Linked DNA regions of Danio rerio. The protein of the gene in region 3 purifies or fractionates together with the protein of the main gene of each other region. This does not show direct contact. Links are inferred from orthologs where the notes say so. Each region holds a gene or a part of one and is shown on either strand. Other genes may lie near its edges.

Region 1 (4,265 bases), about 2.4 Mb from region 3:
TCTTATATTTCTGTGTCTTGTTTATTAATATATGTTGGTGAAAAACGAATCAATATGTATTTTTATTAAAATGATCAATTGACAATAACAATTTCCACAGTATAGAATATATAATCCAGCAACTGGATTGTAAAGAACGCCTATTTCATTTATATCACAGATCAGTAATATTCGTCTGTCTATCTGTAAATGGTTAAAATTGAAGGAGAAGAATATGCTTAAATCTAATGAAATAAAAATGTCGGATTTTTAATTCAGAAAAATCTCAATTGTCTGAATTTTAAATTAAGATTTTTAAAATATTTTTAAAAATAAATGCAACTTAATTTCTATAATTTCGCTGGTTTAAATCCAAGCTCAGTTGCCATTTCTGCGTGGAGTTTGCATGTTCTCCCCGTGTTCTTCAGGTGCTCTGGTGTTCCCCACAGTCCAAACTAGAGATCTGCGCAGCACTAAATTTTGAATCCCGCTCCCGCCAGGTTTTAGCCCTAACCCGACCGCTCCCGCTTATATTTAGCATTTGTTGTCCCTCTGCCCAACCCGCCCCGTTTTCTACCCGTTGCGCCCATTTTCGCTAACGGACGAGGGGGAGAACAAAAGCGAAAACCCCCCAGCTATACAGAGTCCAGACAGCCTATAACAAACTATAACACACACACAAGCACCAAGCAAGTGACACACACACAGACAGCATCACGCTCTTTCTCTCATTCACGCATTCACGCATAAACACACACACAGCACAAAGCTCTCTCTTTCATATACACACACACACACACACACACACACACACACACACACACACACACAGCAAGAAACAAGCTAAGCGCAGCATCAGGCTGTCTCATTCACACACATACATACATACGCGTGCTTGCTCGCTCAGGAGTCAGGAGTGATATTGTTAGACCGCGAGCTTCTGTACAAAATTAAACCAGTTACCGACCGCTCCTGCGCTTCTTTCGGAAATTTATCTCCGCACCGCAAGAAATCTAGTCGGCCGTAGTGTACGAGTGTGAATGCGAGTGTATGGGTGTTTCCCAGTACTGGGTTGCGGCTGAAAAGGCATCAGCTGTGTAAAACATGCTGGATAAGTTGGCGGTTCATTCCACTGTGGCGACCCCTAATGAATAAAGGGACTAAGCCGAAGTGAAATAAATGAATAAATAATAATAACAAATGTTATAAAAATATTGTGAAAATGCCTTTGCTGTGTTGAACGGTGCTCGGGATAGATTTAAAAACATATTACAATTTCACAAGAGAGCTTTTAATATTGCCTTCAACTGTGTGTGATTGTCTGCTGATCTCTCATGATGCTGCTAATGAGGAGTTATTTCATGACTGAGGGCTGTACTGCATTAAGACTGAGATGTTTCTCTCTTTCATATAGATTTGTATTTCCCAGATGCTTTTAAATGTGATTTGATCAATGGCTGTGCTTTTTTCTTTTTGCTAATGTTGCCTCTGTGTTTGTTTTGTCTGTTCCTGACAGCGTCCGGGGACCAGACGGCTCACATCTGGCGTTACATGGTACAACTGCCACTTCCACAGCCTCCAGCAGACATCAGCGTGAGTATTAAACACACACGCACACACAAACACCCACAGAGACATGCGTACACACACGCGCATGCAGACGCAGACAGATACACTTAGACGCATATGACACACGTGTACAGACAAACATACACACAAAGGCAGACAGATGCGTACACAAATGCATACAGTACACACAAACGCAGTACACACAAACTAATTAGTTAACAGTAAGTGTAATATTAGTAATAATAAATATACAATTTAGTAATACTAAAATGTTCTGTGTAATAAAACGAAACAGGTAAAAAGTATTGAACACATGAAGGGAGGTGTGGAAATGCATGGAAAGCCCAGACAGCAGCTGAAATCTCTCAGTAGTTCTTCAGTAACCCTCTGCTTTTCCTCAGTGTAAATGAATATCAGCTGCTTCAGTCCAACATCTACATTAGCAGGATGATGGAGATGAAACCAGGGTGGACATTTCAGCAAAACAATGATCCATAACCAAGTAGACTTTCAAATGCTTTCAGAGAAAGAAAATCAAGCTGTAGAATGGCCCAGCCAATCATCTGACCTAAATCCAATACAGAATCTCAGATTTGATAGACGAGACCCACAGAACCATTCATTCATTTTCTTGTCGGCTTAGTCCCTTTATAAATCCGGGGTCGCCACAGCGGAATGAACCGCCAACTTATCCAGCAAGTTTTTACGCAGTGGATGCCCTTCCAGCCGCAACCCATTCCTGGGAAACATCCACACACACTCATACACTACGGAAAATTTAGCCTACCCAATTCACCTGTACCACATATCTTTGGACTGTGGGGGAAACCGGAGCACCCGGAGGAAACCCACACGAACGCAGGCAGAACATGCAAACTCCACACAGAAACGCCTACTGAGCCGAGGCTGGAACCAGCGACCTTCTTGCTGTGAGGCGACAGCACTACCTACTGCGCCACTGCTTCACCCACCCACAGAACCATATGTATAATATTGTGAAGCATCCTATAGAAAATAATATGAATGTAAAAGCGAGATCTGTAAAGGGTGTACTCATTTATCCTGTGCACTGTAAACCCTTTAATTATAGAAAAGTGTTTTATTTTTTATGAAATGTTTGTCAATTTGATCAGTTTTTCTGGTCATAATAACAGCTGGAGATGCTGAAATGGTAATGAAATCAAATTACCTCAAACATTTGCTCTTGTCATTTCCTGTGCGACTCAGGCCTCGCTGGACGATGACGTGGATTTCTCTGATAAAGACGAGGCAGACGGCGACGCTGATGGACCCAATGAATGCCCCACCATCCGCGTGGCCACAACCACCTTGAAGAGCCACCAAGGCGTGGTGATCGCCGCTGATTGGCTGGTGGGAGGAAAGCAGGTGGTCACTGCGTCCTGGGACAGAGCCGCAAACCTGTACGATGTGGAGACCTCGGAGCTGGTGCACACCCTGACAGGTGAACATGAGGAGAAATAAATCAACATTTACTAATGTGTTTAAGGAGAGTTATTATGGATATTTTAATTCATTCATTCATTTTTCTTTGGCTTAGTCCCTTATTTATCAGGGGTCGCCACAGTGGAATGAACCACCAACTATTCCAGCATATGTTTTACACAGTGTATGTCCTTCCAGCTGTAACACCCATACACACTCATACACACATTTTAGTTCACCAATTCCCCTATAGCGTATGTGTTTGAACTGTGGGGGAAACCGGAGCACCCAGAGGAAACCCATGCCAACATGGGGAGAACATGCAAACTTCACACAGAAATTCTAACTGACCCAGCCGGGACTCAAACCAGTGATCTTGCTGTGAGGCGACCACTGAGCCACCAGTTTTTAATATTTGTTGTTTTTTATTTCTTATACTCGTTTCTTTTATTCTTGTTCATGTAAACCACTTTGAATTACCATTGTGTGTGAAATGTGCAATATAAATAAAGTTGCCTTGTTTATTATTTGTTAAACCCTCAACTACAACTCAGTTGTATTGTATCAACCTCTACCCCAGCTCTAACCCTCACCATTACCTGTTTGTGTGTGTTTGCAGGTCACGATCAGGAGTTGACCCACTGCTGCACTCATCCGACTCAGCGTCTGGTGGTCACTTCATCCAGAGACACCACCTTCCGCCTGTGGGACTTCAGAGATCCCTCCATCCACTCAGTCAATGTCTTCCAGGGCCACACCGAGTGAGTCACATCATCTTATTGACCGTCGACATATAAACAACCTGCCAAAATGAACATTTGGTGTCACTTTAAATTACTGTATGCTTGTAAAATATTAATATTAGAGTAAATTAAAGTGCTTTTTATAGAAATAATATGGTATAATATTTTTTAATATGACATAATAATATAATAACAACAACAATAATAAATATTATTATTATATTTTAATAAATATTATATATTTATTAAATAAATACATATTTTTGTATTAGACCATAGATAAAGTTATGAATATTTTTTCAAAATGTTTTCCATAGTCATATTTTAATAACATTTTCAGTTCTTAAAGTGTTATGATTTTATTATTTAAACATACTTTAAAAAAAATGAATGAATTAAGATATTAAAATTACAACGCCAAACACAATGTGATAAAAAATCAATGCATCCTAAAATATTATTTTAAAATTTTGTATATATTATATTATGTATTATTATTACCATAATAATAAAAAAGTTGTAATAAATATC
Region 2 (3,654 bases), on a different chromosome or scaffold from region 3:
CTCAGGTACCTCTATACTGAGTGTTTGCACTGATATACGATTCACGATGTCGGTAACAATGCAGTTTCTTTGGTTCTCATTGCTGCTCACAGTTGCAGCTTTTGTTTTTTCTATAGAGTTTGTTTGTGACAGCATGCTTTGATCAACTATAATAGATGGTACATTTGTTGTAGGAAGTGTTTGACTCCATCTGTCCTTTTGGTCCTCTATCGTTTTCTCATCTTGTGTGTGAGGGATCTGGTTTACCTTTGCAAGTGTTTCTGGACTTTTTAATTCATTATGTAAAATGGACTTTTCTGTATGCCTTACATCTGGAGGTTCTACCATCATTTGTTTATGCACTTGTGGTGATGCAGATTTAGTTAGCTCTTTTACAACTGTGTTCTCAGTCTTAGTTTCTTCTGTTGTCTGTGTCTTTGGAATTACTTGTTCATTGATTTGCATTGAATTTTTATTTTGAGTTTTACATATTAATGACTCCAACTTATGGATGTTTGGGCCTGGGCCACATAGTAGTTCAAGGGTCTGTTTATTTTGAACCCAGGTTTCAGGGGGTGGGGGAGATGGGGCTTTTACCTTGGGTGGTGGGGGAATGTTGAATAGTGTCCTAAGAGCAATAGTTTGGTGTGTAGGTGTAACTTTGTTTTTCACTGTTGTAAGTGGAGGGGAGAATTTGAGTGGTTCCGATGAAGTGGTATTGGTTTGAATGTCCTGATGTGCTGTATCTGATATGACTGAAGACAGAGATGTTAGTGATGAAGACACCGAAACCACAGGTGAAGTCTTTGCAAATACTCTCTCAGGTTTTGAAGGCTTTACTCTTCTCTTTCCAGGTGAGGAGGGACTGACCTCTTTAGGGGAATGCGTAGGTGTCCCACTTTGGCTTGAGTAGCCACTTGAAGGAGACAAAGTCCTATCAAAATTTTCACCACATTCTCTAGTTTTCTGTGGGGATGAGTTACCTGATCTGGCATGCCTTCCAGTGAAAACTTGATCAGGACTAAGTGGACTAGATTTCACAGTTGTGTGGAAGTCTGATCTAAGCTCTAAAGAATGGACTGAACTCTTCTTGTTTTTAGCGGACTGATGATTTTCTTTTGTACTGCTGATATCTCTGTTTGTTTGCTCATTATTATTTGGTGCCACATCTTTGGGATCTTGTATGTCTCCCTGCTCTCTCTGTCTCTGCATGTTTTCATGATGCAGAGAGTAGGTTCTCTGAGGTGGTGCTGGTGGTAATTTTGTCTTCATAACAGAAAGACTACGGGAGAACGAATGGCTGTTTCTGACATTGTCCCCTGCATCACCATACTCTCTGGGGTTCAGTCTGTGATTTGTACCTTTCCCCTCAGAACTTTTCCAACTGCTTGAGCTCGAAACACTCATGTCCTTTGGGATTAAAACTGAAATGTCTTTGGCGCTGTCAGCATCAAAGGTTGGTAGACACTTTCCTTTTGAAGAGATTGTGGATGAATTGGAGACTATAGTCTCCGATGATTGTGAATTGCTCCTGCTGGGACTAGTAGTGGGAGGAGCTTGATTTGTCCCACTTCCAGACCGTGAAGAAGATGGGCTAGCTGATGCCATACTACCCTTGCTAGCTGTACTTGCACTGCATCGGTTGTGATCATGATTGATTTCAATGATATCTATTGCAGCTGGCAAAACTGCATTTGGAATAATCTTAGATAAATATGTTGCCTGTGGAGAAATAGACATAACAGGGCCTTGAGGCTCTTGTAGGAAAGAGTAAGTGGTCATCCCTGGCACAGCAAGTGACTTAGGCCTCTGTGTAGGGCATGCTCCAAGTCCAAGCTTTCTGTTTAACTCATCTTGGTAGACAGAATGGATGTGGTTCAAAAGCAAGTCTTCATCTCTTGATGCCTGAAGGACTTCAATGTTCTGCAGGTGTACACGAGCCCCTTCATGATTTACAGATGGGAGATCTCCATCAATTGTTTGTAGAACAACTGTTCCAGATGAATCATCTTCACTGTCATGTCCTCTGTTTGGAAGCTGCTGCAGCATAGTTCCTCTTGCCATATCTAAGGTATACAAAATATATAAGCAATTATTATAATTTCTTTTAATTTTGTGGAAAATCATAGTCTTACATACTTGTTGGCACTACTGATTTGAGGTATGCTATGCTCAAACAATGATGCCTTAATATATGTCAATGGCTTTACATACCAAGTTCTCTTTGAACTTGCTGTGGTATTCCCATGATAGTTGTTCTTCGACTCCGTCTCTTGGACTTATCCAGTCGTTTAACAGGGTTTAAGGGCTTAAATGTAGAACCTAAAGAGTGATAGTTCGTACAGAGATTAAATATTTTTTAATTAAAGCAATATAAAATGTATTTTTTTTTTCTTTGCATTGCTATTACTATGATAACTTGCTCAAGCTACTGCCATGCAGTGTAAACCAGGGGTGTCCAGTTCCTGGAGATTTACCTTCCTGCATATTTTAGCTTAAACTTCTACTGTTCAGGTCCTAATAAATTAGTTCAGATGTGATTGAACAGGGTTAGAACTGAAATCTGCAGGAAGGTAGAGCTCCAGGTACAGGGCTGAGCACCACTGGTGTCAACTGCAATTGTTAAACCTGAAAACAAATTAGTGGGGAAAAACAAAGAGGCAGTGCCACTAAGCATGTTTTATTTTAAAACTTCTTATTAAGTCAGCATTGTATACCTTGACGTGTAAGCACTGGACGTGAAGAGACTGCTGAGGCAGTCGACACTGAAATGATGGAGTGTCCTGAGGTGCTATCGTTCTCAAGCGATTCATTCCTTTCTTTTGAGCTTGTGTCTTCCTCTGGCTGTGCAAGCAAGGAGTTCAACCGTATAAATACATCCTTTAAAGGTTCAATTTATACATTATTTCAACCCTTCTTTAAAATGTGAAGAAATACGAAATTACAGTTAAAACATTTTCAGGAACTTGTCATTTATGATTTTACTTGTTACCATATTGTACTTTATTTGTGAAAAACTTAAATTTCAGAGGCTTACCACAATATGGTCATCCTGAAAGTCCGCTCCATTTTTGTTCTCTGTATGGAAGAAAGACTGAGTGAGGTGCATCAGAAAACACAAGTGTATGTTAGAAGGCCAGAATGCGAGCAGTGTGTTTTGTGTAATTGGAAAAGGTGGGTGTAATGCTCACCCTCCTGCTGTAGTATCTTCAGTCCCTCTTGAGCCTCTGTATGCAGGTCCTCCAGATATTTTGGCCTGCTCCCCTCTATGAACACATTCTCCTGGTAGTGCTGGGAAGCAGTGTAGTGTACAGTCAGCTTTTTTTGCTCATCCTGCTTCTGACCTGGTACAGACACACAGACAGAAGGAAGGTGAAGGTACGCACACATAAATGGATGCACTCTTTCACAAAACCTTCTCATTAACATGCAGTATGTCATGCAGGGATATAGAATCCTGCTCCTGAAAGACCAACATCCTGCAGATTGAACATATTTGTCTGTAGGTTTCTAGTTGATCCAAACTATTGATTACCTGTTAGAGTTAGATTTTTTACTAGGCTTGGAGTTTTTAGGAGAGTGGTCTACCAGGATCAAGTTAAAAGACCCCAGATGTATGATATCATAGGTAGTTCATCAATTTCAAAAGTTGCATTCAAATCAAATCAAGATGTT
Region 3 (4,199 bases):
TGCGCTACCTGTCGAGCAACTTCTTCTTAAGGAATTACAACACAATTAAAGCTTGATAAACATCTCGATGGTGGGGTAAATCTCCTCTTAGGCATTTCCAACAGGTGTTTTGTGTCAAAATGACGCGTTAAACATTATGCTGTTTGACACAAATAATCGTAGAGGACAGATTTTTTTTCTCAAAAGGTTTCTTATCAGATTTAGATCAAGTGTACACTAAACAGATGATCAATAAAGTCAATATTTTCTATTGTAACTGCAAAATGAGTCTAGAAATATTGCAGTCATATGGATAAATCAGGAGTGTAAATTTACTCTTGACATTGGTGGGGACCTATGAATTATGAATTCAGATTTTTTTATTTGCTGCAAAATCCCTTTACGTTAACATTGCTATTTTATTTATTTTATTCCACTCTATATACAATACAATTCATTAAGTTTAATTAAGGGAATTAAACTTACTGTTACAAATGCTTTATAGAGTTTAATTAAGACGTTTATTTATTTTAGCCATAGCACAAACGAAACGTGTCTCATACATCAGTATGAATTAAAGTTGGTGGAGCACAAGCTTTAGTTTTTCAAACAGTAGTTTCAACCAAAATTCGACATGCTACTCTGAGAGATAAGGAGAGCTGACAGATTAAATTATAGATGAGGACATTTCAATTAGGAGACACGTCCCCTCCACCCGTGCTAATTCTACGCCCCTGAGATAAATGGTCAATAAGCCAAAATTTGCTAAATCAGAAACACATAAAAATACTTTCATTAGTACTTTAAATAATAATTCAATAAAAGAAAATATAAATATTATATATATTTTTTTAAATATTAAATAAAATAAAATAAATATATGTTTTCAGTGTGTATGTTTTTACTCATTTATAAAATAAATATTTATATTTAATGACCAATTATAAGCTAAATAAAATGAAGTATGTCAGGAAGTAAAATATATCAAATCAACTATATACGTCTGACCAAGTCAATTCTCAAGAATCAGAACAATAAAGTATAATATTTCTTGTTTCTTTTGTCATTACAATTGTGGAATAATGATAAAAAGTCATTTATATTAAAGCGATTTGAAGATTAAACTAACTGAAATGTCCTTTTGTGTAACATTCATGTCTAGATGTCTAGATGTCTAGATAGATAGATAAATAGATAGACAGACAGACAGACAGACAGACAGACAGACAGACAGACAGACAGACAGACAGACAGACAGATAGATAGATGATTGGATAGATAGATAGATAGATAGATAGATAGATAGATAGATAGATAGATAGATAGATAGATAGATAGATAGATAGATAGATAGATAGATAGATAGATAGATAGAATGTTTTAAAATTTTTAAAAATTGTATTAATAGATATTTTAATGACCAATTATAAGATAAATAAAATTAATTATGAATACTATGTAAAATCAACTATTTATATCTAAGTTTGGCCACACAAAAAAAGTTATCAAGGATCAGAACAATAAAGTGTAATATAGCTTGTTTTTTTGTCATTAGAATTATTAGATAGATAGATAGATAGATAGATAGATAGATAGATAGATAGATAGATAGATAGATAGATAGATAGATAGATAGATAGATGTTTCAAAACATAATATTTAGTATGATCACTTAATTCAATTTTATAATAATTATACAGTAAGGTAAGGTCAAAAGTTGGGAGTCCTTTTTACAGGATGCTGAATGACAACTGAATTAGTTCACCCACATTTCAACATTATTTCCTTTAAAAAGTAAGTACATTTTAAATGTTAAACACAGATTACTTGTATTTATTACACTTTGTATGTATTTTGTCGTTTGAATTGATGTGGAAAGCAAAATATTATTCAAAACCCTATCAATAAACTAATAATACGACCGCAATCAAACTTCTAAGAAATGTTTATTACTATGTTATTACATAATATCACTAAATAAATATAAGAATGCCTTTGAACAAATAAATACATTGAATAACATTGTAAAAAGTATTTAAAATCGGTGATTACCAAATACGCTCTTGAAGTATTAAGTTTTAAGTTGACCACTTAAGAGTTTAATAATCTATTAGAAAAACAACGTAACAAACAGCATTGCAGGAAGCCGACCTGATATTATTTGATAAAAGAAACAAACAAAGGTGAAATAAAACATGACTGAAGCTCAGCTTTATACGACCTCTCGTGTTCCCATTTGACACACTAGTTCAGTTTTATTATCAAGTATAAGCAAACACAATCAGTTGAAGTCCTTTCATATCTAATCTTCTCCTATCGAGGCCAAAATCTCACATCCTCCTTTCTGAAGTTTGACACAGATATGAGCAAAACTTCAAATGTCTAAGTTAAAGAGTATCCAGACACACCCTCAATGTAAACGAAACAAATCCCGAACACGATCACAAATCTGATCGTCAAACCGCTTAAACAAGTCAAGCTCTACATCGAAATATCGCCTTTGATGTCTTCAAAGAATCTCCCAAAAAGCGGCTCATCCCTGCTTTCCCGTTTTACAACCATATTTCCTGTCCGACTCCCAACAGCAGTGCTGGAGATCAGCGCGTAACAGAGAAAACGCGCGCGCGCGCTTACCTGAACATAATTATTCTCACAGTAATCCGCGACTCTCGTCAGGTTCTGGTAACTCTCCACGAGAGCTCGTTTACCGGCTGGGATTTCTTCCTCTAGTAACATCTGCAACTCTGCCATCTTACATGTCTCCGCAGAGCTTCCTACTCCTCGTCTGTGGGATTTGATTGAGAGCTCAAGCTCAGCCCTGCTGGTGATGTCGGAGTCGTTCTTTTGAACCGAGTCTTTTTGGTGAGTCAATTGAGCTGGTTCATAAATCCGGACTGAACGAGTCGAATATACGACAAAGCTGTTCTGGAGTCAGCGACTCACTGAATCACTGAATCAAAAAAAAGCACTCTTAAAGGGATAGTACAGCTAATTTTTGTAAATTTGCTAGTAAATAAATAGTTCACCCAATTCATTTACCCTCAAGCCATCCTCTATGTATATGACTCTCTTCTTTCAGGCGAAAACAGTATTTTTAAGGAAATATCGCAAAGTTACGAAGTATGCTATCCAACTTAGATGCAGAAAAGCTAGTTCATGCTTTTATGACCTCAAGATTAGATTACTGTAATGCTCTGTTCGCTGGTTGCCGAGCATCCTCTACTAATAATATGCAGTTAGTGCAAAATGCAGCTGCCAGAGTTCTTAACAGGTCTACAATATATGACAATATCATCCCAATTTTATTCTCCCTACACTGCCTGTTCAGTTCCGTATTGATTATAAAACATTGCTTCTAACCTATAAAGCTTTAAATAATCTAGCTGATGTTTATCTAACCAACCTTCTGTTCTGCTACAATCCAGCCCTCTCTTTAAGATCTCAAAACTCACTGTAAAATGACTGATGTTTTCATTACAGACACACATCGGTCCACTTCATGAGACATGCATTAACCCCTTGACAGCATATGGGTTAGTTTGGTGATGGATTGAAACCTTTTTGGAAGCTTCAAAATAAAAGCCACTATCCAACACTATTATACAGCATGGAAGAGCCAGGATAAAATTGAAAACTACTCTGAGTGTTCGTCTGGCAGAAAAAAGGAGGATTAAGGGTGAGTAAATTATGGGGTAATTTTCATTTTTGAGTGAACTAGAAGCTTAGTCCCTTTATTAATCCGGGGTCGCCACAGCGGAATTAACCGCCAACTTATCCAGCACGTTTTAACGCAGTGGATGCCCTTTCAGCTGCAGGAAACATTATAAATCGGTATAAAATATTATTTGAACATATTTAGCTTCTATTTAGTTATTACAGTTTAGTTATTACAATTTCAGAAATTATGAATAATAAAATCTCTGATTATTTAAGTAATTTTACATTTTATTCTAATTATTCTAAATTAATTCATTGAATATAGATATATGTTTTAGTTATAATTAATTATATAGTTAATTATTCTTTTTTTTTCATCTTAGTCCCTTTATTAATCTGGCGTCACCACAGCAGAATGAACTGTCAACTTATCCAGCACATGTTTTAAGCAGCGGATGCCCTTCCAGCTGCAACCCATAACTGGGAAACACCCAAATACACTCATTCACACACACACACACACTACAGTCAATTTAGCTTACCAATTCACCTATGTCTTTGGA

What was found.
Region 1: the proteins of abi1a (region 3) and nck1b purify together in Homo sapiens (co-immunoprecipitation; 4 studies listed by BioGRID and IntAct, with this or other methods). This does not show direct contact. The link is inferred for Danio rerio from reciprocal best matches to the Homo sapiens genes ABI1 and NCK1.
Region 2: the proteins of abi1a (region 3) and nhsl3 purify together in Homo sapiens (affinity purification with mass spectrometry; 3 studies listed by BioGRID and IntAct, with this or other methods). This does not show direct contact. The link is inferred for Danio rerio from reciprocal best matches to the Homo sapiens genes ABI1 and NHSL3.

What each region holds. Positions count from the first base shown.
Region 1 is NC_133199.1:3,692,879-3,697,143, forward strand, and holds the start of nck1b (SH2/SH3 adapter protein Nck1), read right to left. Parts: upstream 2,776-4,265; 5' UTR 2,738-2,775; intron 1,573-2,737; coding exon of another isoform or gene 1,496-1,572; intron 1-1,495. Other genes in the region: wdr37 (WD repeat-containing protein 37), read left to right, coding at 1,496-1,572, 2,776-3,010, 3,611-3,752. UniProt on the Homo sapiens protein: Adapter protein which associates with tyrosine-phosphorylated growth factor receptors, such as KDR and PDGFRB, or their cellular substrates. Maintains low levels of EIF2S1 phosphorylation by promoting its dephosphorylation by PP1.
Region 2 is NC_133194.1:33,366,417-33,370,070, forward strand, and holds part of nhsl3 (NHS-like protein 3), read right to left. Parts: intron 3,324-3,654; coding exon 3,171-3,323; intron 3,058-3,170; coding exon 3,017-3,057; intron 2,824-3,016; coding exon 2,697-2,823; intron 2,302-2,696; coding exon 2,194-2,301; intron 2,046-2,193; coding exon 1-2,045. UniProt on the Homo sapiens protein: Able to directly activate the TNF-NFkappaB signaling pathway.
Region 3 is NC_133199.1:6,125,371-6,129,569, reverse strand, and holds the start of abi1a (abl interactor 1a), read right to left. Parts: upstream 2,836-4,199; 5' UTR 2,731-2,835; coding exon 2,614-2,730; intron 1-2,613. UniProt on the Homo sapiens protein: May act in negative regulation of cell growth and transformation by interacting with nonreceptor tyrosine kinases ABL1 and/or ABL2. May play a role in regulation of EGF-induced Erk pathway activation. Involved in cytoskeletal reorganization and EGFR signaling.